3 linked regions of the Schizosaccharomyces pombe genome follow. The gene in region 1 interacts genetically with each later gene. Each region holds a gene or a part of one and is shown on either strand. Other genes may lie near its edges. The genes, in order: vps1, atg2 and atg4.

Evidence for each region.
Region 2: mutations in vps1 (region 1) and atg2 impair growth when combined (synthetic growth defect), as found in Schizosaccharomyces pombe (one study listed by BioGRID).
Region 3: mutations in vps1 (region 1) and atg4 impair growth when combined (synthetic growth defect), as found in Schizosaccharomyces pombe (one study listed by BioGRID).

The regions. Positions count from the first base shown.
Region 1 is NC_003424.3:1,996,274-2,003,467, reverse strand, and holds vps1 (dynamin family protein Vps1), read left to right. Parts: upstream 1-4,052; 5' UTR 4,053-4,125; coding exon 4,126-4,218; exon of another isoform or gene 4,219-4,269; coding exon 4,270-6,213; 3' UTR 6,214-6,694; downstream 6,695-7,194. Other genes in the region: poly(A) polymerase Cid16, read right to left, coding at 1-2,483; Swr1 complex/NuA4 histone acetyltransferase complex subunit Swc4, read left to right, coding at 6,785-6,990, 7,055-7,143.
Region 2 is NC_003423.3:232,471-242,246, reverse strand, and holds atg2 (autophagy-associated protein Atg2), read left to right. Parts: upstream 1-2,647; 5' UTR 2,648-2,733; coding exon 2,734-7,653; exon of another isoform or gene 7,654-7,723; coding exon 7,724-7,744; 3' UTR 7,745-7,770; downstream 7,771-9,776. Other genes in the region: P-type calcium transport ATPase Pmr1, read left to right, coding at 1-1,877; SPOM_SPBC660.17C (uncharacterized protein), read left to right, coding at 7,999-8,080, 8,177-8,613; gnd1 (phosphogluconate dehydrogenase), read right to left, coding at 9,186-9,776.
Region 3 is NC_003424.3:4,894,333-4,900,514, forward strand, and holds atg4 (Atg8 deconjugator Atg4), read left to right. Parts: upstream 1-3,687; 5' UTR 3,688-3,808; coding exon 3,809-4,233; intron 4,234-4,416; coding exon 4,417-4,954; 3' UTR 4,955-5,680; downstream 5,681-6,182. Other genes in the region: rbd4 (rhomboid family protease ), read right to left, coding at 1-73, 117-182, 288-504, 555-741; SPOM_SPAC19B12.07C (zinc finger protein), read right to left, coding at 1,443-1,752, 1,793-2,008, 2,078-2,511. UniProt on the Schizosaccharomyces pombe protein: Cysteine protease that plays a key role in cytoplasm to vacuole transport (Cvt) and autophagy by mediating both proteolytic activation and delipidation of atg8.

The sequences.
Region 1 (7,194 bases):
CTTTTTAATATTAGCTTGGGGTATCTTTCACAATAGTATGTAAAGACATAGCTTTGGAGTTTTTCAAATGACTTAATACCAATCACGCATTTTCTAAATATGAATAAGATCAGGTTTTTTGGAAAAACATTTTCCTCTATTAATTTCTGCAACTCCTTTGAAGCCTTAAGTTTATTATCTTTTACGAAAGAAGTTAGACCAATCGATTCTAAACTTTTGTAATTTTCGATGAATTTTCTGCTGCTAGTCGAGGCAGAGGAAACCGTATGTTTTGAAGAGTCTAATACGTGATTGTTTGATGACGAAAAATTTGAACTGGTGTCTGCTTCTTCCAGAAGCTTTCGAAGAGCGACTCCTATGGCTTTGTGTTTATTAATTTCTTCGATAGTAAAGTTAGTCAGCCTCTCTTCTTCTTTGAGGTCAGATTTTAAAATAAAGGTATTGTTTTTAGTGTTCTTGGTTTCTGAAACAGCTTCCGATTCCTTCAATAAGTCAACATTTGGTAATTGAAGGTTATATTTAAGTGTTGAAAATTTTGACATATCAATTTCCCGTCCTATTTCATAAAGTTTTTCTAACATATCAAAAGTTGAGTTTTTCTGAAATTCCATTAAAGAATAGTTGACACATTTTAATAAATTAAGGGGAGTAAAATCATCGAAGTCTTTATTCAATTTCACAATTCCTTCATTGTATACCAAAAAAGTATTAAAAATATTATGTTCAAGGAGAAACGATAAACAATCAGTAATTTTTAACTCTTCTATAGAAGAATTCACCTCCCTTGTGTTTTTACCCAAAATTAAAGTCATGACAGCATCTAATGAAAGCATTTCAGTTTTATCCTTTAGATGATTAATGATAAGTTGCAAGGGTGTAACTAATATAGCAACACAGTACCAGCGGAGCGAAGAATTCAAGGAAACTTCCTTAGAGAATGTTGAATTTGCTATATCCTCAATCAATAATGACTTAAGTATCTCAAATTTTTTATAAAAAAGCTCAACATTTTCATTCACCCAATGGTCAATAGTCTTTTGCAATACGGAATAAAGCCAGCAGTTCTCTGAAAAACATAGTATATATATATCACCAGCAGAACAGTTATCTTGATTGTATCTCGGTATCATGTTAATTGATAATTGCGTTAATATTTTCCTGGTACCTATAGCTTGAAGGGTACTGGTAATTGATTTTCCTAAAGGGTGCGAAGAGTCAAAAACTTTGAGCCATAAGTTTTCAATCTCCTCCAACGAAATCCAACGCCTTGCTAAATTTTTATATACAAATGCTACTTGTAAAGGCTCCAGGAGCAAATCAACAAGTAGCATATTTATCTCATGGTTGAAATAGCTATCTATATGCTCAAAAATGTCGAACATCCGTGATAAATATTTTCTTTCCCTAATAATATTTTTCCTGGCGATGAGAGCTGTGTTAGAAACAGATTCCTTTTTGGCTTCGGTTATTGGTATTGTAGTTAATTTTTCTTCCGCATGGTTTGAAGTTATCATTTTTCCTAGCTTACTGATCCTATTAATTGCATGTTTTTGAGCTTTTATGCCGTATGATTTAAACTTTGAATCAACTAGTTGGCGCAAAGCAATAAACAAATCAGTAGTATCAATATCGGCCTTTCTGTTTACTAAAGCGACCTCCTTCCTTTTCATAGTCTTCTTAAAGGAGAAGACATGTCCTAAACATTCGGACTCAAGTATTCTAATCCAACCTCCAAAGAGTTTGACAACTTCCAATCCACCGTTACCAACCTCGAGAGTTAATTTTTGATCTTGAAATGAATGATCAATAACTGCAAGATCCACACTAATTTTAGATACTTTCAATAGTTTAATGAGATTCTGGACTGGTACCAGAAGCAACTTGGCTCCCAAATTCACTCGATCTTCGGTGACAAGATTGTTGTCTTCTTTCGAATTGATGGCACAATTAGAAAGTACTACTTTAAAATTATCACTTTCGCTATCATGAAAAAATGATCGATTTTCTAAGTGGTTTTTATGTCCTTTGAATGTGAGGAAGCTAACATCGTCATCCAGTGAACAAGGGACATCAGTTGGAAAAAGAATCGACGGGTCTTTGGACCTTTTGCAGCATGATAACAGTGCACGTTCTATTTCTTCCCACTCTGCAGCGCTTTTTTGAGATTTTCTAGCTAATAAATAATTAATCAATTTTGGAAGTAAGATTGGTACCGGCAAATTATTTAATGATGTATCAACTAGTCTGATCTTCTTGTTATGGTAATGAAAAGCATGGCACAATTGGTTGGAGCTCAGAAGTGCTTTCAATCCCCCAGCTAGAGAAACAGCCAACTTATTAGGGGTAGAAATTTTCCTCAAATTGTCAGTTTCATCTTGGAATATTAGTAGATTAGCCTCTTTAATTGAAATTTCTTTGCTCTTGGCCTTTGCGTAAGCAAACAAAATTTGTACAGGTTTTAACAATAATTTGGCAAATAGCATTTCACGAGTGATATTTTTAAATAAAAAAGTAAAAATTCTTTTTAGGCTTTGCTTTTAATTAAGGATCACAGAATAAATAAAGGGTATGCCGCTTTTAAACGATTGAAACATTAATTAACGAAACCTTTGAAAGAATAAATAATTTGTCGAATTTTCTTCAACGAGCACATTAAGACAGTTTTGTTTTATTGACTTAAAAAAGACATGTATACTAAATTTATGTTGAAGACATTGAGTAAGTAGTGCATTGGTATGGTTATGGAGTAAGTGATCCTAGGAGGAGTACCAATCTTCCAGTCTCTTATTAAACGCTCGCTAGAGCATGAAGCAACCTATGCGTCGTAGCATTTGCTTAAAAATTTGGGTTTTACATGTATGCCGTTCATGTATAAACCTAACAGTATGCCGAATACAGAGAAGTTGGATTTTATAGTTAACCCAAATTTGCATCCTGTTTAGTAACAAATTTGTAAAAATTGTAATTTTATTGACAAAAAATTATTTACAAGATATCAAAGATATTGATTTGGCATTTGTATACGATAGAGGTGTCAAGAAACGAAGCAAAATGTGTAAGATTTTGACAAACTACTCCACGAGTTATACAACCATTTATTTTGATAACTAACTTTTGGAATGCTAGTATTATTTAGTTTTGGAGTCAAGAACCAAGACTTCATATGTTTCTCTATTTGTAAGTTTGCATATGGTATATTAATATGCTTTGATAAAAATTAGAGATATTATCCACTATGAAATTCGCTTCCATTTATTGCTAAAAAGGTCCCAATTGTTATTGGTTTTTTTCCAACAAAAAGCATAAATTGTTTGACGCTAAGGTGATTGCTAAAATTTGTCCAATGGCATGTGCAAATTGAACACACTTGTCGACTTCTAATCAGCAGCAAAACAGAGAATAATTAGCAAAAATTGCTGTTTCTATAAAGTCCATTCCCTTTTCCTACTGAACTAAAACTCGTTTTTGAATAAACTAGCGTATTGAGCACTGTCAGCTACGCGTAATGTAACCAATTTTTAAAACTGTGGTGGTAGTTTTATTTGAAATATACAATATTACGGTACGCAGCAAAACGCGTACTATATTATAAAGATTCTCGTAAATAGGTACTATTTTTACTTATCAGCAGAATAGCTTATAATTGTACTGAAAAACAAGGTTAAAGCAGTTTCCGTTAATTTTTTCAGTACTCAAGTATCAATGGGTAACTTTGTATTAAGATAAATAGCATTTCGCAATTATCATTAAAAGGATCTTTCCTGTTATTCCAACACAGGGCATATAGTGATACGCAACGTAGTAAAACGCAATATTAGTATATTATCGTTCGTTAAATATGGAATGATGCATCGCTTTAATATTACTTATCGAGGGTTAAACATTAGATTTATTGTCTAAAGTCTGACAACAACGTTTCAAGGGCATCACTGTTTCTTTTTTGGTAAATCAATTAGCAACACGATATTGTTAAGCCACCTTCAAGCAGCCTTACTGAAATCCGATTAGCGAGGTACTAATTTTATTCGACATATCCGAGTAAACACTACACTACCACAGCACATACCATCAGGTTTGTAACCGCCCATTCGTAAAATTGTCTATTTAGTGGATCCATAGTTGATAATGGATCCCTCATTGATTAAAGTTGTCAATCAACTTCAGGAGGCTTTCTCCACAGTTGGCGTTCAAAACTTGATTGACTTACCACAGATTACTGTATGTTGTGAATTTTAACTTAGATTGAAAAATTCACTAATAAATTGTTAGGTCGTACGGTCACAGTCAAGCGGTAAATCATCGGTTTTAGAAAATATTGTTGGGAGAGATTTCCTTCCTAGAGGAACCGGCATTGTAACAAGGCGTCCTTTGGTTCTGCAGTTAATTAATAGACCTAGCGCTAGTGGAAAAAATGAAGAAACAACTACTGATTCAGATGGAAAGGACCAGAATAATTCATCTGAATGGGGAGAATTCCTCCATCTTCCCGGACAAAAGTTCTTTGAGTTTGAAAAGATTCGTGAAGAAATCGTTAGAGAAACAGAAGAAAAAACAGGAAAGAATGTTGGCATTTCTTCGGTTCCTATCTATCTTCGTATTTACTCTCCTCATGTGCTTACTCTGACACTAGTAGATTTACCTGGTCTTACAAAGGTACCGGTTGGTGACCAACCTCGAGATATTGAAAAGCAAATTCGTGAAATGGTTTTGAAGTATATATCTAAAAACAATGCCATTATATTGGCTGTAAACGCTGCCAATACTGATTTGGCAAACTCAGATGGTCTCAAACTTGCTAGAGAAGTTGACCCCGAAGGTCTTCGCACTATCGGTGTATTGACCAAGGTTGATTTAATGGATAAAGGTACGGATGTGGTAGATATTCTAGCTGGACGTGTTATTCCATTGAGACTTGGGTATGTTCCAGTCATAAATCGCGGTCAAAAGGACATCGAAGGGAAGAAGTCTATTCGTATAGCTCTTGAGGCAGAAAGGAACTTTTTTGAAACGCATCCTTCCTATGGTTCTAAAGCGCAATACTGCGGTACTCCATTTCTAGCTCGTAAACTAAATATGATATTGATGCACCATATTCGGAACACCCTTCCCGAAATTAAAGTTCGTATTAACGCTGCTTTAGCCAAATATCAGGCCGAACTACATTCTTTGGGGGACACTCCTGTTGGCGACAACTCCAGTATTGTACTAAATTTAATTACTGACTTTTGCAACGAATATCGCACAGTTGTGGACGGCCGTAGTGAAGAGCTTTCTGCTACGGAGCTTTCAGGAGGAGCTCGTATTGCGTTCGTATTTCATGAAATTTTTTCGAATGGTATTCAAGCAATTGATCCATTTGATGAAGTTAAGGATTCGGATATTCGCACCATTTTGTACAATTCATCTGGCCCTTCTCCTAGTTTATTTATGGGTACTGCTGCATTTGAAGTTATTGTCAAGCAACAAATTAAGCGTTTGGAGGATCCTTCCTTGAAGTGTGTTTCCCTCATTTACGACGAACTTGTCCGTATTTTAAATCAATTGCTTCAACGTCCCATATTTAAACGTTATCCTCTTTTGAAAGATGAATTTTACAAGGTTGTTATTGGTTTCTTTAGAAAATGTATGCAACCCACTAATACCCTTGTAATGGATATGGTTGCCATGGAAGGTTCTTATATAAACACTGTTCATCCAGACTTTTTATCTGGACATCAAGCAATGGCGATTGTTCAAAGTCAGAATAGTAAGCCGATACCCGTTGACCCTAAAACTGGAAAAGCACTTACAAATAACCCCGTTCCTCCAGTTGAAACTTCATCATCTTCGGGACAGAATTTCTTTGGAAGCTTTTTTGGTTCTAAGAATAAAAAGCGACTTGCAGCTATGGAGCCTCCTCCACCGGTTTTAAGAGCTTCTACTACTCTCTCAGACCGCGAAAAGACTGATACTGAAGTTATTAAACTACTTATTATGTCCTATTTCAACATTGTTAAAAGGACATTGGCCGATATGGTACCTAAATCCATTTCTTTGAAAATGATAAAATACTCTAAAGAGCACATTCAGCACGAGTTGCTTGAGCAGCTTTACAAGTCTCAGGCGTTCGATAAATTACTCCAGGAAAGCGAAGTGACAGTGCAACGTCGTAAAGAATGCGAACAAATGGTAGAATCTCTCCTACAGGCAAGTGAGATTGTGTCTAACGTTTAATGATATAATGATAACAAACTGCTAAAATAACGAGGTTAAGTTACCTTATGAGATGATCTCATATCGATGAATGTCTTAATTGCTTTAAAGATCCTTGTTTTTTATTTTTCGTCACGCACTTTTCATCGCATATATTCTTGTCTTTACATGAACAATCATGTGAAGTTGCTCGCTTAAAATCGAAACTTTCGTTAAATCGATACTTATGTTTTCCTAGGGTTGTAGTGTCTTTAAATAAAGATTTCCCGAATGTAGCGTTAGGAAGACTCAATGAAGTTTTTATAAAAGTTTTTCAGTTACATTTAGATTATATTTAACGCCGATATGGTGTTATCTCAAGTTGGTTATTTTTTTTTATTAAATAACTACTCTATCAATACTACTTTATTCCCATATTTCCTGAATTACAAAATTGCAAGTGCACTCTAAAATCTCCTTAAAAAATAGGACAATTGAGTACGCAGTGTTATGCTAAATAAATACTGTAGTCTAACGTTTTTTAAAAGAAAACCACATTTGAAGTGTCGGCGTTTTATTCGTACACTGATGAGAAAATTCAGTTCAAAATACAATGACTAGTGCTGACATTCGGGATGTCTTTGAATTACCTCCTCCTGAAATAGGAAATAAGCAGAAATCTAAAACTCCAACAGAGAGAAGGCCAGAAGGAATTTCTCGAGAACTTTATTCATTGCTAGGCGAGAATTCTGCCCCGTTAGCAATATACCAAAAGAAATTTAAGGAAAAACCAAAAGTTAGTCACAAAGCTAAAAATTGGTGAGTAAATCAGAGCTCAAATAAATAAATTTGTGTATTCAGTAAGGAATTTACTAATTTGTAGGGTACGCCAGCCCTTTTCCATATCAAGCCGTAAGGATGATTTTACTTTGCATCATTGGGTCCTTAAATCAGAAGTAGATTCTGAAGCCTGTATGTTTGAAATTTTATTTGATAAGCGCTTGGTTAAACTAACCTAAACTG
Region 2 (9,776 bases), on another chromosome or scaffold:
CAATTGGAGTTAGTTTGGCTGTCGCCGCTATTCCTGAAGGTCTTCCAATTATCGTAACAGTCACCCTTGCTTTAGGCGTGTTACGCATGTCTAAGAAGAGGGCTATTATCCGTCGGTTACCCAGTGTTGAAACTTTGGGAAGTGTTAACGTTATTTGTTCGGACAAGACTGGTACTCTAACAATGAACCATATGACAGTTACTAAAATTTATACATGTGGAATGTTAGCAGCTTTCTCCTTACCAGAAAGTGAACATATAGAGCTAAGTGTTAGGCGCACTGTTGGTATCGAAAAGGCACTTCTAGCTGCTGCTTTATGCAACAATAGTAAAGTTCATAACAAAGCTGATTCTATTTTGGACACTACTTGTCCCTGGGCTGGATTTCCAGTTGATGTCGCTTTAATCGAATGTTCTGAGCGATTCGGGTTGAAGGATCCTCGTGAAACGTACAGTCGTATATCTGAGGTTTCATTTAGCAGTGAGCGCAAATACATGTCTGTTGCTGTCCAATACAACTCTAGCAAAATGAATTTCATGAAGGGAGCCACTGAACAAGTGCTGTCAAGTTGTGCATATTTTAGCGATCAGGATGGTGTTCAACACGAGCTTACTGCGGAAATGAAGGAGAACATTCAACGTAACGAGTTTGAAATGGCTGCTTCGGGACTCAGAATTATAGCTGTTGCCAGTGGTATAAATACCAATAAACTTGTATTTCATGGTCTTTTTGGCATCAACGATCCCCCTCGACCCCAAGTCCGCGAAAGTGTACAATATCTAATGACTGGAGGGGTTCGAGTTATTATGATTACAGGTGATAGCGTTGTTACTGCAATAAGCATCGCTAGAAGTTTGGGTATGGCTATTCCTAGTAATGACGAAGAAGCAATTCGTAACTATGCGCTGACTGGAGCTCAGTTAGATGATCTTGATTCTTCCTCTTTACGTGATGCCGTTTCCCGTGTAGTAGTCTTTGCAAGAACTACACCTCAACATAAAATGAAAATTGTTGAAGCCCTTCAAAGCCTTGGTGATGTTGTGGCTATGACTGGTGATGGCGTAAACGATGCACCTGCCCTCAAACTTGCAGACATTGGTATAGCAATGGGTCGACAAGGTACGGATGTTGCCAAAGAAGCGGCTGATATGATTCTTACCGATGATTCTTTTGCGACTATTTTGAGTGCTGTTGAGGAAGGTAAGGGAATATTCAATAACATTAAAAATTTCATTACTTTCCAATTGTCTACGAGTGTGGCTGCTCTTTCATTAATCGCCATTTCGTCTGTTTTCGGCTTCCAAAATCCCCTCAATGCCATGCAAATTCTTTGGATCAATATTCTAATGGATGGACCCCCTGCACAAAGTCTCGGAGTAGAGTCAGTTGATGAAGACGTGATGATGAAACCTCCTCGTCCAAGGAATGCTCCTATTATATCAGTTCAGCTTTTACAACGTGTTTTACTCAGTGCATTTATAATAGTTACTGTCACTATTGTGGTATTTAGAGTACAAATGCAAGACGGCAATGTAACAGCTAGAGATACTACTATGACTTTTACTTGTTTTGTTTTCTTCGATATGTTTAATGCTTTAGCATGTCGTTCCGAAACAAAATCGGTTTTCAAGCTTGGTATTTTCTCTAATAGAATGTTCAATATCGCAGTCGGAGGCTCATTAATTGGTCAAGCCTTGGTAGTTTATGCTTCCCCCTTTCAGCGTATTTTTCAAACTGAAGCTATTGGACTTAAAGATGTTCTAATATTGTTAGCTTGTACCAGTTCTGTTCTCTGGGTTGACGAAATTCGCAAATGGTATCGTCGCCGTAAAGGTCTTGTTAGAACAAAGAGCAATTATCTGCTAAGGAATGTATAAATGATACGTTTTGCGGTAACAAGTTGCATATCTTTGTGCTAAGTTTAAAATTACTTAAGGAGCTTTACTATTATTTTGTGAATACAAAATTCCAATGCTATATGTATTTAAAAAATTCCTGTATTTTATTAATTTTTTGACTAATGATTATTAGCTTTCCGCTGGTTTCTTATTCTTATGGCACAAAAGGGGTTTGCTTCTCTGCCATGAAGTACTCGAGTCTATACCATTCGTTTAAAAGCTTTCATCGTTACTTTTCATTTCAGTTTTTTTTTTCGAAAATCCTGTATCTTGGTTAATTTTCAAGCACTTAGTATGTTCAGGCTTTATTATTCATCACCTTGATGCAGTCCTCACTGGTTAGTCTTAAAACCAAATTATATGATTTTATTCTGACTAAAGGTTAATCTAAAACATATTAGTTGTAGTTTCTATATAGAAACAAATAATAAAGGCTTATCAAAATTAAAGGTTTTAAAATCGGTTGTCGCTTTTCATCATTTAATTAATGCAAAAGAAAAATTATACGAGATTAAACAGCCGCGTTGCTCTAAATTGTTTTTGTATCATTATATCTTGTGCTGTTTCAAAGTCAGTTTATACATGTTTATTGAACAGTTGATTCATGTGACCGACTCGCCTTAAGTAATTTTTCTTGTCATTAACGTTTGGTCTTCAATGAGTAAATTTTCCATTCATTAGATTGTCACAAGATGTTGGCATTATTGTTTTTATTTCGTGTACATCAACGCTATCGTCGCATATTTGTCGTCCCACTACCAAAATCTGAATGAGGCAAATAAGTGTGAGATAGACACAAATTTGAACCCGAAATTCAATTAAGCAAAGGAGGATGATGAGGTTACCCTCATGGCTTAAAAATTCTTCCTCTTGGCTCTGGACGGCGGCGTTATCAAGGACTGTTCAACGTCGACTATTAGCATTTGCCTTGAGAAAGCTTATTGGATCCATTCTTTTAGAAAATGTGCAGCCTGAGGATATAGACATCCTTTTTTCAAAAGGGGTCCTAATGTTGTCCAATTTACAGCTAAATTGTTCCTTTCTGAATGCAGTGGTGTCTCTTCCAATGATTAATTTTACTAAAGGAACGTTGAGGAGATTAATTTTAAGACTGAATGTTACTGATATTGTAAATTTAAACGTTGAATTAGAAGTCAATGGCTTAAGTTTGGAAATTGAACTAGTACCTCCTGATGAATCCTTAAGCTCAACTACATATGAGGATGCTCCATCACAGCTTGATATATTGGATAATGTTGTTGAATATATGAATAAAACAGCATCGCAAGACTTTGAAGATGAGGTGATCAACGAGGGATTAGAATCTGAAATTGATGGCTCTTCACATAATTTATTGGATAGTATATTGCAAAAATGTTTGGCATCTACCTCTGTCCTTATGCAAGACGCTTTAGTTTACATAGGGACTGCAAATATGTCTACTAGGTTGGAAGCAAAACTAGATTTTATGAGCTTTTCGTCGGTTAAAAGTAACTCTACATCTCGATTACTCAATATTAATGGCATAACAGTATCCATGGTTCGGCCCATAAGCAAGAGTAACGCAGGATCATCTTCTCCTCCTCGATCTGAAGAGTCATTTGTATCGATGGATTCCTCTTCTAGTATAGTAGAGGGCTTTGAGAATGATCTATCGCCATCACAGGTCACACTAAATGAATCATCAATAATAAGCTCAAATAGAGAAGAAGAATCATTTTACTCTGTCCACGATTCTGTTACTCAGAAAAAAACAAGGACTAGCTGGTTAATTTTTCAATGTTCTGGCGAATTTAGGCTTGTTTTCAGTATTGAGTCCTCTAACTTATTGGTTATTGAGTCTCACGTCCCTTCATGTGTTCTTAATATTAACTCACAAGTCATTGCGTTTCTGTTATATCTCTACGGGTATTTTTTACCTGCTCCTTCCACCCCTGGATTTTCTTCAAATAAACCGCCTCTTACTATGTTACAACTTGATATCCACATATCTTCTGTACAAATCCTTACCCACTGTAAACTCCCCGAATCTCAGGATTTTTCTATGCATAATGATGTTGATGAATTGCTACATACCATCCCCTCAAATGGAGCTGTTTTTGAAATGAAAATTAATCAAATTCAAATCTTTAATGACAATAATGATATTGATGAACTAACGATGACTTTCTCTGATTTAGATATTTTTATGGATTCTGTTACACTGGTGTCTTTTGGTAAAAGTCTGCAATCACCATGCTCGCTGATTTTTAAAAAGCTTGAACGAATAGTGTCCTTATTCATACACATTCCTGGGGGAGAAATTTCTTTACCTCTTGGAAAGGCCTTATTACTTCAAGAATCGTTCGTGGAGTTTACTAATGATATATCCAATCTGCAAAATTTCCTGTCAAATTCAGATCCATTTAAACGGTCAATTCAAGAAACCTTTGAGGCGCCCAAACCCTTTGAGGTGGAAATGAATCAACCGAGTTTTGAGATTATTGCACTCTTTGATGAGCTTCAACTTCAAATATTGAATGAACTTTCAACTCAATCATTATACAAACTTACTTTGAGAGTATCTCACTTGCAATTTACAAGAAAATCTACAGGGTCTCTTTCATCTGTATTGATATTTGTAAAAAAAATCGGATGCCAGTCAGAGTTATTCAATTGTGAAAATTCTGATTGGACCAAGGTGTCATCATCTACTGCTTTTCACCTTTCTAATAGTTTATTTGAAACTCATGACACTACCGGGACTTCCAATTTTGCAGTTTCTATACAGCAGGAAAAGCATTACTATCCAGTATTTCAGCCTGCGCCAACCGAGTTTTCCTATCCAGAAAAGCATTTTTATTTTGCAGTCGATAACTTTAATGTTTTCATTAGCAAGGAGGTCGTTCGACTTTTCAAAACTTTATATGAAACTATTGCTTCCTCTTTGGTAACTCCAGTTACACCTAATAAGTTGGTGACTTCAGATTACAAAAACGTATTAAAAATCCGCACCAGAACATTCTCGTTATCTTTATTAAATGATGATGGCAGCTCTTTTGCTCTCAAATGCATTCGAATTAAGCATTACATGTGTTGGGCTGGTGCACAATTAATTTCATTGAGTTTACGACTTTATAATGTTTCTGCGGAATACTTATCTGAGTCTTTAGAAATTTTACCAGTCGTTTCTTTTATAAGGAACTTAAGAAATGATGAAAAGTATTTATTAAATGCTGATTTTAGCTATGCCCTTAAAAGATCATCAGGATCTAATGATAATACCATATTTGTCAAAATAACTGATCTTGGATATGAGCACTACCCTACATGCCCTTGGATTTCGGATTTATTAAAAACCTACTTTCCTCAGGATCCTGAAGTTCCATTCTTAGCATTTCCTGATTTTCCATTTAATATTAAGTTGGACCTTAGAGAGTCAATAATAGGTCTGAATCCTAGGACGCTTGAGGCGAAGTTATTACTATATTTGAAGTCACTTGATGTTGAAATTGATGCACTTGTCGCTTCAAATCCATTAAACATTCGTATCATGGCAGCTGAAACGGTAGTATACATTATTGACAAATTGAACCAAAGCGTTTTGGAAGGAAAGACTTCTGTGTTAAAACGTGAAATTCTTAACTCTTCCCTCCATTTCCCTGGACTCTCGATAAAAGATACTATCGAATTTGTTGTTAAATCTTTGGGTTATGTTGAAATATCTCAGCTAAAAAATTTGACATTGTCATTAGTTGTCAATGCTGAGGAAGGGGTTTTTTCTACCTTGATAACTGTTGATAACCTCGATGCACAAGTACAATCTTGTGCGGATAGCACCGAGTTGTTGATTAAAGTTTTGTCTGATTTAGGATCAACTGAAGATGAAGAAATATCGGATTGCTATTTGGCTCTCCCTATTGAAGACTATGCAAAATCCTTGACCGAAGTTGACTACAACTTTTTTGAAAATCGTGGCATAGATTACAAGTCCAATCCTACTGAACAGAGTACGGTGCTAGTATCTTCTGACAATGATATATCTTCGCAAGAAATTAAAATCGTAGACGATTATTATATTTCTTCAAACGAACACTCCACTCATGCCAGTGATTTGGCATCTGTTTCGTCCGAGGAATTTGTAATAGATGATGGTTCGTCATCAATTATCGATATTTCCGATGAACTTCAAGATGAATCGAGTTCCCGAGACTCCTTAAAAAAGGGTATAGAGCTTATTGAGGATTATTACTTAAGTCAAAGCACTTCAAAGCTTGAATCTTCTGTAGAAGGAAAAAATTATCTCTTAAAAGTAAAATTTAAAGATATCAACGTGAACTGGGATTTGCATGATGGTTATGATTGGGAAGCTACTCGAGCAACTATCAGCTCAGCTATCGAAAAACTATGCGATTCTTCTAGTCAAAATGATAAAATTTCTCCTGAAGCGAAAACCTTATTGTTTCAAAGCATAGTCATCAAGTCTTTTTCGAAAGTGGGAAGATTAAATATCAATCATGTATCTGAACCAATCGATTCTGATGAATTTGCTGATTATTTATCGAAATCTATTTCGTACCATTTACGCTTGGGGAAGTCAAAAAGCAAAAAGATTGGAATAGAAATTAAAGATTTACAGGGCTCTTTTACTGTATATGCTGACAGTAATGAACCTAACGCAGTACTGAACGATTTAGATATTGGTCTGAAGGACTTAATTATATATGACCATCTATCAACCTCAACCTGGAATAAATTTTTTGGACGAGATTCCAGATCTCCGTCTTCCAAGAATCGTAATCAGCACATGAATGCTCAAATTGTTACTGTGCGACCGTTACCTGAACTAAATAACAGAGAATTGAGGTTGGAATTTAGCGTTCTGCCTTGTAAAATGTATATTGACCAAGATACTTTGGATTTTTTAATACGTTTTCTTACTTTTCAAACTCCTAGTTCCTCTGAAACGTTAAACACCGAACCTGATCTACCGTTTTTTCAATCCATCTGCATAAATGCTACTCATGTAACTATCGATTTTAAATTCAAATCAGCTGATAAGGTAGGATTGAGAAGCGGAAAGCTTCCTGATTTAGGCAGCTTGATTGTTATGCAAGGTTCGGAGGTTTTCTTGCGTCAATTACAAATTTATGGACTTTCTGGTGCAGAAGAATTCCTTAATGCCCTTCTTAACGTTTGGTTGCAAGATATCCGAAACAATCAACTCTCAAAAGTTCTGAATGGTGTAGTGCCGATTCGAACAATGTTTACTGTAGGAAGAGGCATTAAAGACATTTTTGTAAGTCCAGTTCGGGGCTTGCAAGGAAACCATTCAGTCGGTAGTTTCCGGCATGGTATAATTAAATTTACTGAAAAGTACGTGAACGACTTTCTGTCTTTAAATGCGCAAGGTGCTACCGGTACGCATTCTCTTCTTCGTCAAGCCGAAAGTTATTTAGAAAGAGGAAGCAATGCTTCTGCATCTGCGTCCAGAGCCAGAAGTTATTACGCTGAACAACCTGAAACAATAGAGCAAGGGTTGAGACAAGGTTATTCTGGTTTGAAACAGGGATTACTCGGTGCCAAATCCACTTTGATGGGTCTTCCTCGAGAGACCCGCAGCCATAAATCCCTTGGTGGTGTTGCTCAAACAGTAGGTAGAAAAGTGCCATTAATTGTTCTACAGCCCATGATTGGAGCCACTGAGGCTGTTTCTAAAACGCTATTAGGCTTATCGAATTCGCTGCAACCACAGAGAAGACAGGATATGCGAGAAGTAAGTTTATTGACATCAACAGCCTGAGTTATCTTTCCTTATAAAACGATCAACGCTAACAATTCTATAGAAATACAAACGGCCTGGTTGAAATTTATATGCCTAGAAAGTATTGAAAATCCCTAAGGTAAAAGACGAAGGACTTTTTTACTCTTTGTGTTCGAACACTCTACTTGATATGATTATTTGAATCTCATTTTGGGCAGTGTGTTCGATTTTGCTACGCACTATACTGGTTACCGCTACCAGTATCGTTTGTCTTTACCTAGTTCCACCTTGCTAGTCCTGGGGCAAATATAGTAAACACAATTTGTCGGCTATTTACCCAAATAGAAAAGATGAATAATGGAACAATTACGAAAAAGGGTTGTTCGCTTTACTAACAATGATGATGATGATTTCGAGCCGGTTTTCTTGAATGAACAAGGTATGCTAATTTTGTAAGGTTAAATATAGGAGTTTGAGTTTCTATGTATATGCTTTTTAATAACATAATGTACTCTCTAACATATCTATTTCGTAGATCAAGATGCTTTCGTTGAACAACTACGTTTGACTAACAATCGGGATAATCGAATGTTTTCTATTATCTTTTCGTTCCTCTACTTGCTTTTAATAGTACCGCTGTTTTTGTATCCTGAATATTGGGCTTTTAAGTTAGTGGAGCTGTTGAGTCTTTTCTACTGTGCATATGTGATGTACTTTTTACCGTTAGAGGTTGGTCTGTTTAATCCTAAGACTCCTAACAAATGGAAGTTTCTATTTATACTGAATATTGGAGTTACAGCTTTGATTACCGTGCTTGGTTGGTCTCAGCATACGAGTTTTTTCTACGCCTTCTTAAATATTCGTACCTTGGTCTGTGGCATCACAATTTTTACGGAGATTGCACGCTATTCTATGTATCATTCAACGCTTAGCGTCGAAAAATTAGATGAGATGCGTTTTGCTCATATGTAAAAGCTGCGAGTAATTAAAGTACGATGTAACTTTGTTGTGGTCTATGGATCGTCTCTTCAATTATGTGAAATTATACGACCATTCTGTTCATACGAGACGCTTGTTTGCCTTAAAAGTTGTATATTATTATGATTATGATCTATTAAAAAAAGTAACTGTTGTTTAATGCTGAATGCTTTTTATTACGGATTTATGATGTTTGAAGGCAGCATTCAATGGCTTGCTAACTTTATACACGGGTTGCTGTGAATACCACATTCATTTATTCATTTAGTAGCAGATTCTCAATGCCAAAGAACAGAAATTTTATGATTATCTTTACTACAAAATTAGGCAGATTACCTAAAGTATTTGTTTTACAAAAGGAATGTTATATGTATGCAAAAAACTATGAACGCGCGAGGTAATTCAACTTGATTTCAAAAACTTCAATTTAATAAACAAGGTATCTTCCAACCCAAATAAAATAGGTATTTTAGGATATCAAATTGTAAATTGTCATATAAACAGAGTAATAATTTTTAACGTAAAGTTACTAAAACAAAAGCTAAACGTAGTTGTCATTAAGACATCTAAGCATCATAGGTAGTAGCACTGATGTTACCACCGTGACCGGTCCAGTTAATGTGGATATCCTTGTCAGCAGGTAAGCTCTTATCAGCAGCTTCAGGCAAAACACGGAAAGTATGGGCACCAAAGTAGTCACGTTGAGCTTGCAATAAGTTAGCAGGCAAAACAGCACTACGATAACCGTCGTAGAAGGAAAGACCGGTAGAAGTGGCAGGGACTGGAATGCCCAACATAGCGGCTTGGGCAACAACTCTACGCCAACCAGCTTGAGCCTTTTCAACACCATTAGTGAAGAAAGGATGGAAAAGGATAGACTCGAGGTTAGGATCCTCACGGAAAGCCTCAGTGATATCCTTAAGGAAGACGGAACGGATAATACAACCACCACGCCACATCAAAGCGATACCGGCGTTGTTAAGCTTCCAGCCGTACTCCTTAGCAGCCTCACGCATAAGCATGAAACCTTGAGCATAAGAGATAATCTTGGAAGCGTACAAGGCATCTTCCAAATCATCAATCAATTGCTTCTTGTCACCAGTGAACTTGGTGTTGGGGCCAGTAAGCTTCTTAGAGGCACGAACACGCTCGCTCTT
Region 3 (6,182 bases), 2.9 Mb from region 1:
AAAATCTAACGGAAGTCCTAAGACAGGAGCTACTAAAGCTAATGCCATCCTTACGACTTGAGGAAGATTCAAACTAAAATATTGTTAATTATAACGTTGAATAAGTACAGTCATACAGTTTGGGATGCAAATCTCCAAAAAGATTCAAGAGATACATAGCCAGAAGCGAATAAACCCAACCACTAAAAACATTAGCATGTATATCCAAGAAAAGAATTTTAAGGTGAAAAAGTTAGATATAAATTTTCAAACAATTTAATATCATTTATGAGAGACAAAAAACATACCCAATACCAACATAGACATCGTCAGACTCAGCAACATAGCAAGCTATTAAGTATGCAATGGCAGGAATTACTTCCAAAAATCCAAAAAACATGGCGATTGTACATAATGTTCCGTATCTGCGTTCAAAACGTGGCATAAGAAGAAAAATTCCTAAAAGTCCTAAAATGAAAGAAATTACTCCATGATGAACGAGCGGATATGTGTTTAGGGTATGAACTGCGTACTTTGTCAGTTTGTTTCAGGAATATATATTTATTCTAACATACGGCGAATGTTTATTAAATTATGCCAGCTTAGGCCAAAAAAGTCAACGATAGGCAAGAAAATGTTTACGATTCCAAGAATGATAGTTAACAGGGCAACAATCACAGTGAAGAGTGGAATTTTCATAAGGAAAAGTTCCGCTAAAAATCCGACCGATGTCGAAATACGTTCTCCTAGTTCAATGGCCATGCTATTTATTAATTAAGTTACACCTTTTACCTTCTCTCGGTAATAATTCGTCTAAAATATTCCCTTTTTAAAAAAGTTTTAGGAATATTGACTTTGTTGGTTTATAGCAAGGTAAAGTAAGCGCTGGTTATACCAGCCAAGGTGTATATGAAAGTCAATCGCAATACAAGTTCGACTAACCAATTATTTTTCAAGGGAAAATATTGAGTTTTATATAATTTTACATACAATGACTATTAAGAATTTCCATCTGCTAAAGATAAAGGTAGTAATTAATCACAGTTTTGCAAATAATCGCAATCGAGTGAAGTAAACAGCAAATATAATTATTATGATTAATTGAAATAAGATTCATTGTAAGTAGAATTATATAAAGCAAATCTAGCAAACAGTAAACAGGGTGTTCATTTTTATGAAAATACAGACAAATAATTCCGTTAAATATATAAAGACAGCCTAAAACAATAAAACTAGGTAGAACCTTTTATACATACATTAAGTCAAATAAATAATTCGTGTCTTCAACTTCACATTCAAATCTTTCTCAGCGACCAGTGTAGGTGTTATCTATATTATAACCGTTTTTTTAAATATCTTTCCCTCTTATTAATGTCTTTACGAGACTTCAGGAAACTATGCCTTAAATTGTTAAGTGATTTATTTAAATACATAACAAGAGGATAATGTTAGGAAACATCAAACTAAAGTCGAGGGTCCTCAATCACCTCACTTAAGCAAATTATTAAAGCATCGTCTGGCACTACAGGAATCAACCATCCAGGCTCTTTCCAAAAACTATCTGTTTCAGCTGGAATAGACTTCTTTTTAGTTTTCCGGGAATAATTTATCACCCTTATGGCCCCATAAACGTCCAAGCTGTAATCCTTTTGAATTTTCTTGATATCCCAATCGTGAACGATTTTGCAATGTTCAAAACAAAAAACTGGTTCATAGAAATTAGTGCAAAATATACATTCCACAGATAATGGTTCTGCATCCTCATCATTTATACTGTAAAATGTTAAAAAAAAAGGAATATTTGAATACATACTCAGATATAGTATCATCAGTTTCATTTATGTCTTCATTAATTGCAAACTGTGAATGCGAAATGGTGATACTTTTTGTAACAGAAGCATAATTTATAATATAGAACTCATCGTATTCTGACGATTTTGGGTCAAGCCGGAAATGCCGCTTGTTATTCATGTGTTCTCGTAAAAGCTTTTTATTTTTGCAAGGGACATGACAGCATAGACATCTAAAACTTATCAAACGATGTTAGAATATGACGGAAAGAAGTAATAACACAAATAAAACTGATAAATATGATTACCTTTCTAGTTCATTCTTTATCTTTTCAAGTAACCGATTTATGTAAACAATATTGTCTGCTAATCCGATATTAAGCCCGTGAACGTGAAAACTATGTTCAAACCATTCTTGACGGTTTAAAAGACCTTCATTATTACAGAACAAACATTGTAAGGATTTTATTTTTCCCTCTCTCCGTTCTTTTTGCTGTTGCCTTAAGACTCGTTTAAGTGAATTTTCTTGAGCAATTTGTAGTAAAAGTATTTCTTGGTCTTTCAAATTTGGATTCTGGTTGAGCTCATTGGCAATCTCTGATGCGCATAAATAAGCATTCTTAGCTAACGTCTGTACTGACGAATTGTGTATAGTTGTAAGGTGGCTTATAAAAGAAATCGAGTCACCAGCAAATTCACAATCAAAAGGGCATCGAATTATTATAGCATCGTCGGAACTCATTCTAGTCGGTGTTCTTGAAATTCATTGAAGTTGCCCAATGACCAAGTGTCTTAATTTTTATTCTTTTAAGATATATTAAACAGTTTCAAGTCTAAGTAATGCGGAATTCAATAAATAATAATTTACTTCTTTAGTTTTAGTCCCTTCTTCCTTAGATCACCGATAATATCGTATGGATATGCATAGAATAGGCCAAGTTATCCAGCAGTGAGGCTAAAATTACACATTGCGTTAATCAACTTTAAAATTATGAGAATAATGTAGTAACAAAAAAGGATAATTAAAACGAGTTCTCTAAAAAATATTTATAGTACTGACTACTATCGAGCATTTCTACTTTTAAAAAGCACATTTAAAAGATATCACTCTTATGTGGATTCTGTATCTTTTTTAAACTGTAATTGTTGGTAATATCTTTAAAATGAAAACATATATCGCATGGAAAGCTACTAATTCATGTCCTTTATTTTGAACAAATATCAATCGATAATATTTTTGTCTCTAGACTCAAAACTGTTCATTTATTCGTTTGCTCGGTGATGGAGCAAGCCTGAACTTCATTTACTACGGAGATTTTTGCGTTGCTCCAGTTATTGTATCACATTATTTACTTTTCGTATAATAAAGCAGGTCGTAAGTACTTATCGTAGTTTAACGTAATATTATGTAAGCTACGCAGTTTGGTATCTGATTTAAGGATACGTAGAACTGCGGTGAGTTTTCCTTGTGGTCTATTATATTACAATACACAGGTTGTATAAGTAGCAACTGAGTATAGGTATTGTATTAACTGGATTATAATGTTACCTATCACTAATATAGCTCATAACTGAACTGAGGAACGAGGTTCAGTTGTAACGCTATTTATAATATTTCTAAATAGTTGTTATCAACGGGTATCTATGTATATAGACGGATAGTTACCCGTGATTATCAATAAACGGATCTTAGCTAGTATTCCAACATATGACATATAGTGATACGCAACGTAGTGTATCATAGCGTAGTGTAGTATTGCTGACATATTAAAGTTAATTAAAATATTTGAAACAATTCCACAAAATCATTTACGAATACTAAGGTGTTTGTAAAGTTATTTAGCAGACCATAGTAGTACTCGCAAACATGACTTCACTCCCACCATATCTTATCCCAAACACTATATTAATCAAGTTAGCCTTTGCTTAGTCTAAAGGGGGTGTATGTACGCTTTCATGTGAACATCTGACGACGTGAAGTTTGGTTTAAATATTTTGAGAAAAAATAAAGGTAATAGAAAAAAATTTCAAAAAGGGGAATGGAGCTTATGGCTCGCTTTCTAGAGCGATATTTACATTTTGCACCGACAAACACCGAGCCTCCAGGGACATTAATTTGGTTTTTAGGACATTCTTACAAAATTGAAGATAGCCAATGGCCTGAAAAATTTTTATACGACTCATTCTCTCTTATTACAATCACTTATCGTAGTGGTATTGAAGGGCTTGAAAATATGACATCTGACACCGGTTGGGGTTGTATGATTCGATCCACTCAGACACTATTAGCAAATTGTTTACGAATCTGCTATCCTGAAAAACAATTGAAAGAAATATTGGCACTATTTGCTGATGAGCCTTCAGCCCCTTTTTCTATCCATCAATTTGTTACAATGGGCAAAACTTTGTGCGATATTAATCCAGGGCAATGGTTTGGACCTACAACATCTTGTTCTTGTGTTGCGTAAGTGTTTCTTGTTATTTAAATTGAGTTTTCTGGTCGATAAAAGAACAATTGATCTCTTCACATAGTTCGAATTTCTTCCGTTCTTTTTTATCCTTTTTAAAAAAAAGAAGAAAAATTTTGAACGTTTTATTTTTTTTTTGGAATTCAGTCAGTATGACATTTACTAACTTTTTGTTAAAGTCGATTAAGTGATCAGAACCCGGACGTCCCATTACACGTTTATGTTGCCAGGAATGGAAATGCTATATACCGAGATCAACTTTCAAAGGTCTCCTTTCCTGTTTTACTTTTAATTCCTACCCGTTTAGGAATTGATTCAATTAATGAATCATACTACGATCAGTTGCTTCAGGTGTTTGAAATTCGTTCATTTGTTGGCATCACTGGAGGTCGTCCAAGGTCTGCTCATTACTTTTATGCAAGACAAAATCAGTACTTTTTTTATCTGGATCCTCATTGTACTCACTTTGCTCACACTACCACCCAGCCTGCTTCCGAGGAAACTTTTCATAGTGCTACTTTACGAAGAGTAGCAATACAAGATCTTGATCCCTGTATGATCTTTGGGTTCTTAATTCGAGATGAAGAAGAATGGCATTCATTTGAAGCGAATCAAAAATATTTTGCCGACATAGTTCAGATTTTCGACTCCGAACCTCAACCAGTCGAGACACATGATGATTTCGTTTTGGATGAGAATGTTGAAGATCATCTTTAATCCATTGTTTACTACTGTTTCAAGTTTTATTTATAAATTTGAAATTATAATACTAACGACTTCGCATTTATGACATATGTAATTATGAACTGACCCTAGTAGCATTTACGCTTTGGGTTTAGTAACTTAATGAATAATTATTTATCCAACGTTTTTCAAGGAAATTTATTATCCCGGTTTCTTGAATTCCTTCTCCATCCCAAATCGGCTAAAGGGATATTTTTTTAATCGTTAAGCGTTTAGTTGTGCTTGTGCTATTATTTGGTCAGTGTTTCCCTTCTATTCAACCGGTCTCCTTATTGTTAATTTCATGCTTTATCTTTGAAAACTGTTAAACAATGAGTCTGTTTGATTTTTTATTAAATGTGCGTATTTGAAATGGATGTTTATGTGTTATATTTCGTGAGGATTTTGTTCTTGTTTTTAATGTCTCTTTGTTACGCTTTTCTTTTCATCTGATGTTCTTCCCTGTGAGTAAATTTCAAAAACTTATATTATACAATGTGCATTACTAAGATGATTGGACAGCAATCTCAGAATTTCTCATTTCTTTGCTTTTGCTTACCTGAGATAAATATTGTGATCTTCTCAAATGCCCTTTCCTGAGCTACTTAGCTTAAAGTTATTTAAGTAATAATAAATTAAAGCATATTCTTTTTTTTTTATTACGGGTATTCTGATCGAGCCTTTTCTCTATTTTAGTATATCAGTTAAACTAAAGAGTAAATATGGGCAAAAATTTTAGTAATACGGTTCATTCGTAACGATAGAATACTTAAAACCTTTTTCACCTGAATTTATAAATCTTTATTAATAATAATGATATATTAAAGAGTAGAATACCACTTTTTTCTTTAAGTTCCTCGTAACATTGATAAACATTATCACTTGTCTAATAATACCTCAATATTTAGCTGCTATTATCACGTCATAAATGAGGGCTCGCTTAACTACAAATAGAGTGAGGACGAAGATCTTTCTGGTTGTTTGCTGCTATAAATATGTTTTAAAAGCTAGAAAATAGTAAAAAATTAAGAAAAACTTACTTCTGTTTAGTCAAGTTTACAATTTCGTACAAGAAGTATTTCAATGCCTGTTTTTGTTAAAAAAATTAGGAAACCTGGTTACTAATAATAACGAGTTGCTTCCTAAATTCGTTATTGCTTTTAGCGAATTTCAAAACGAAGGATGTGTCTTTTTTCTACAGATAGAAAACCCATCTCATTCG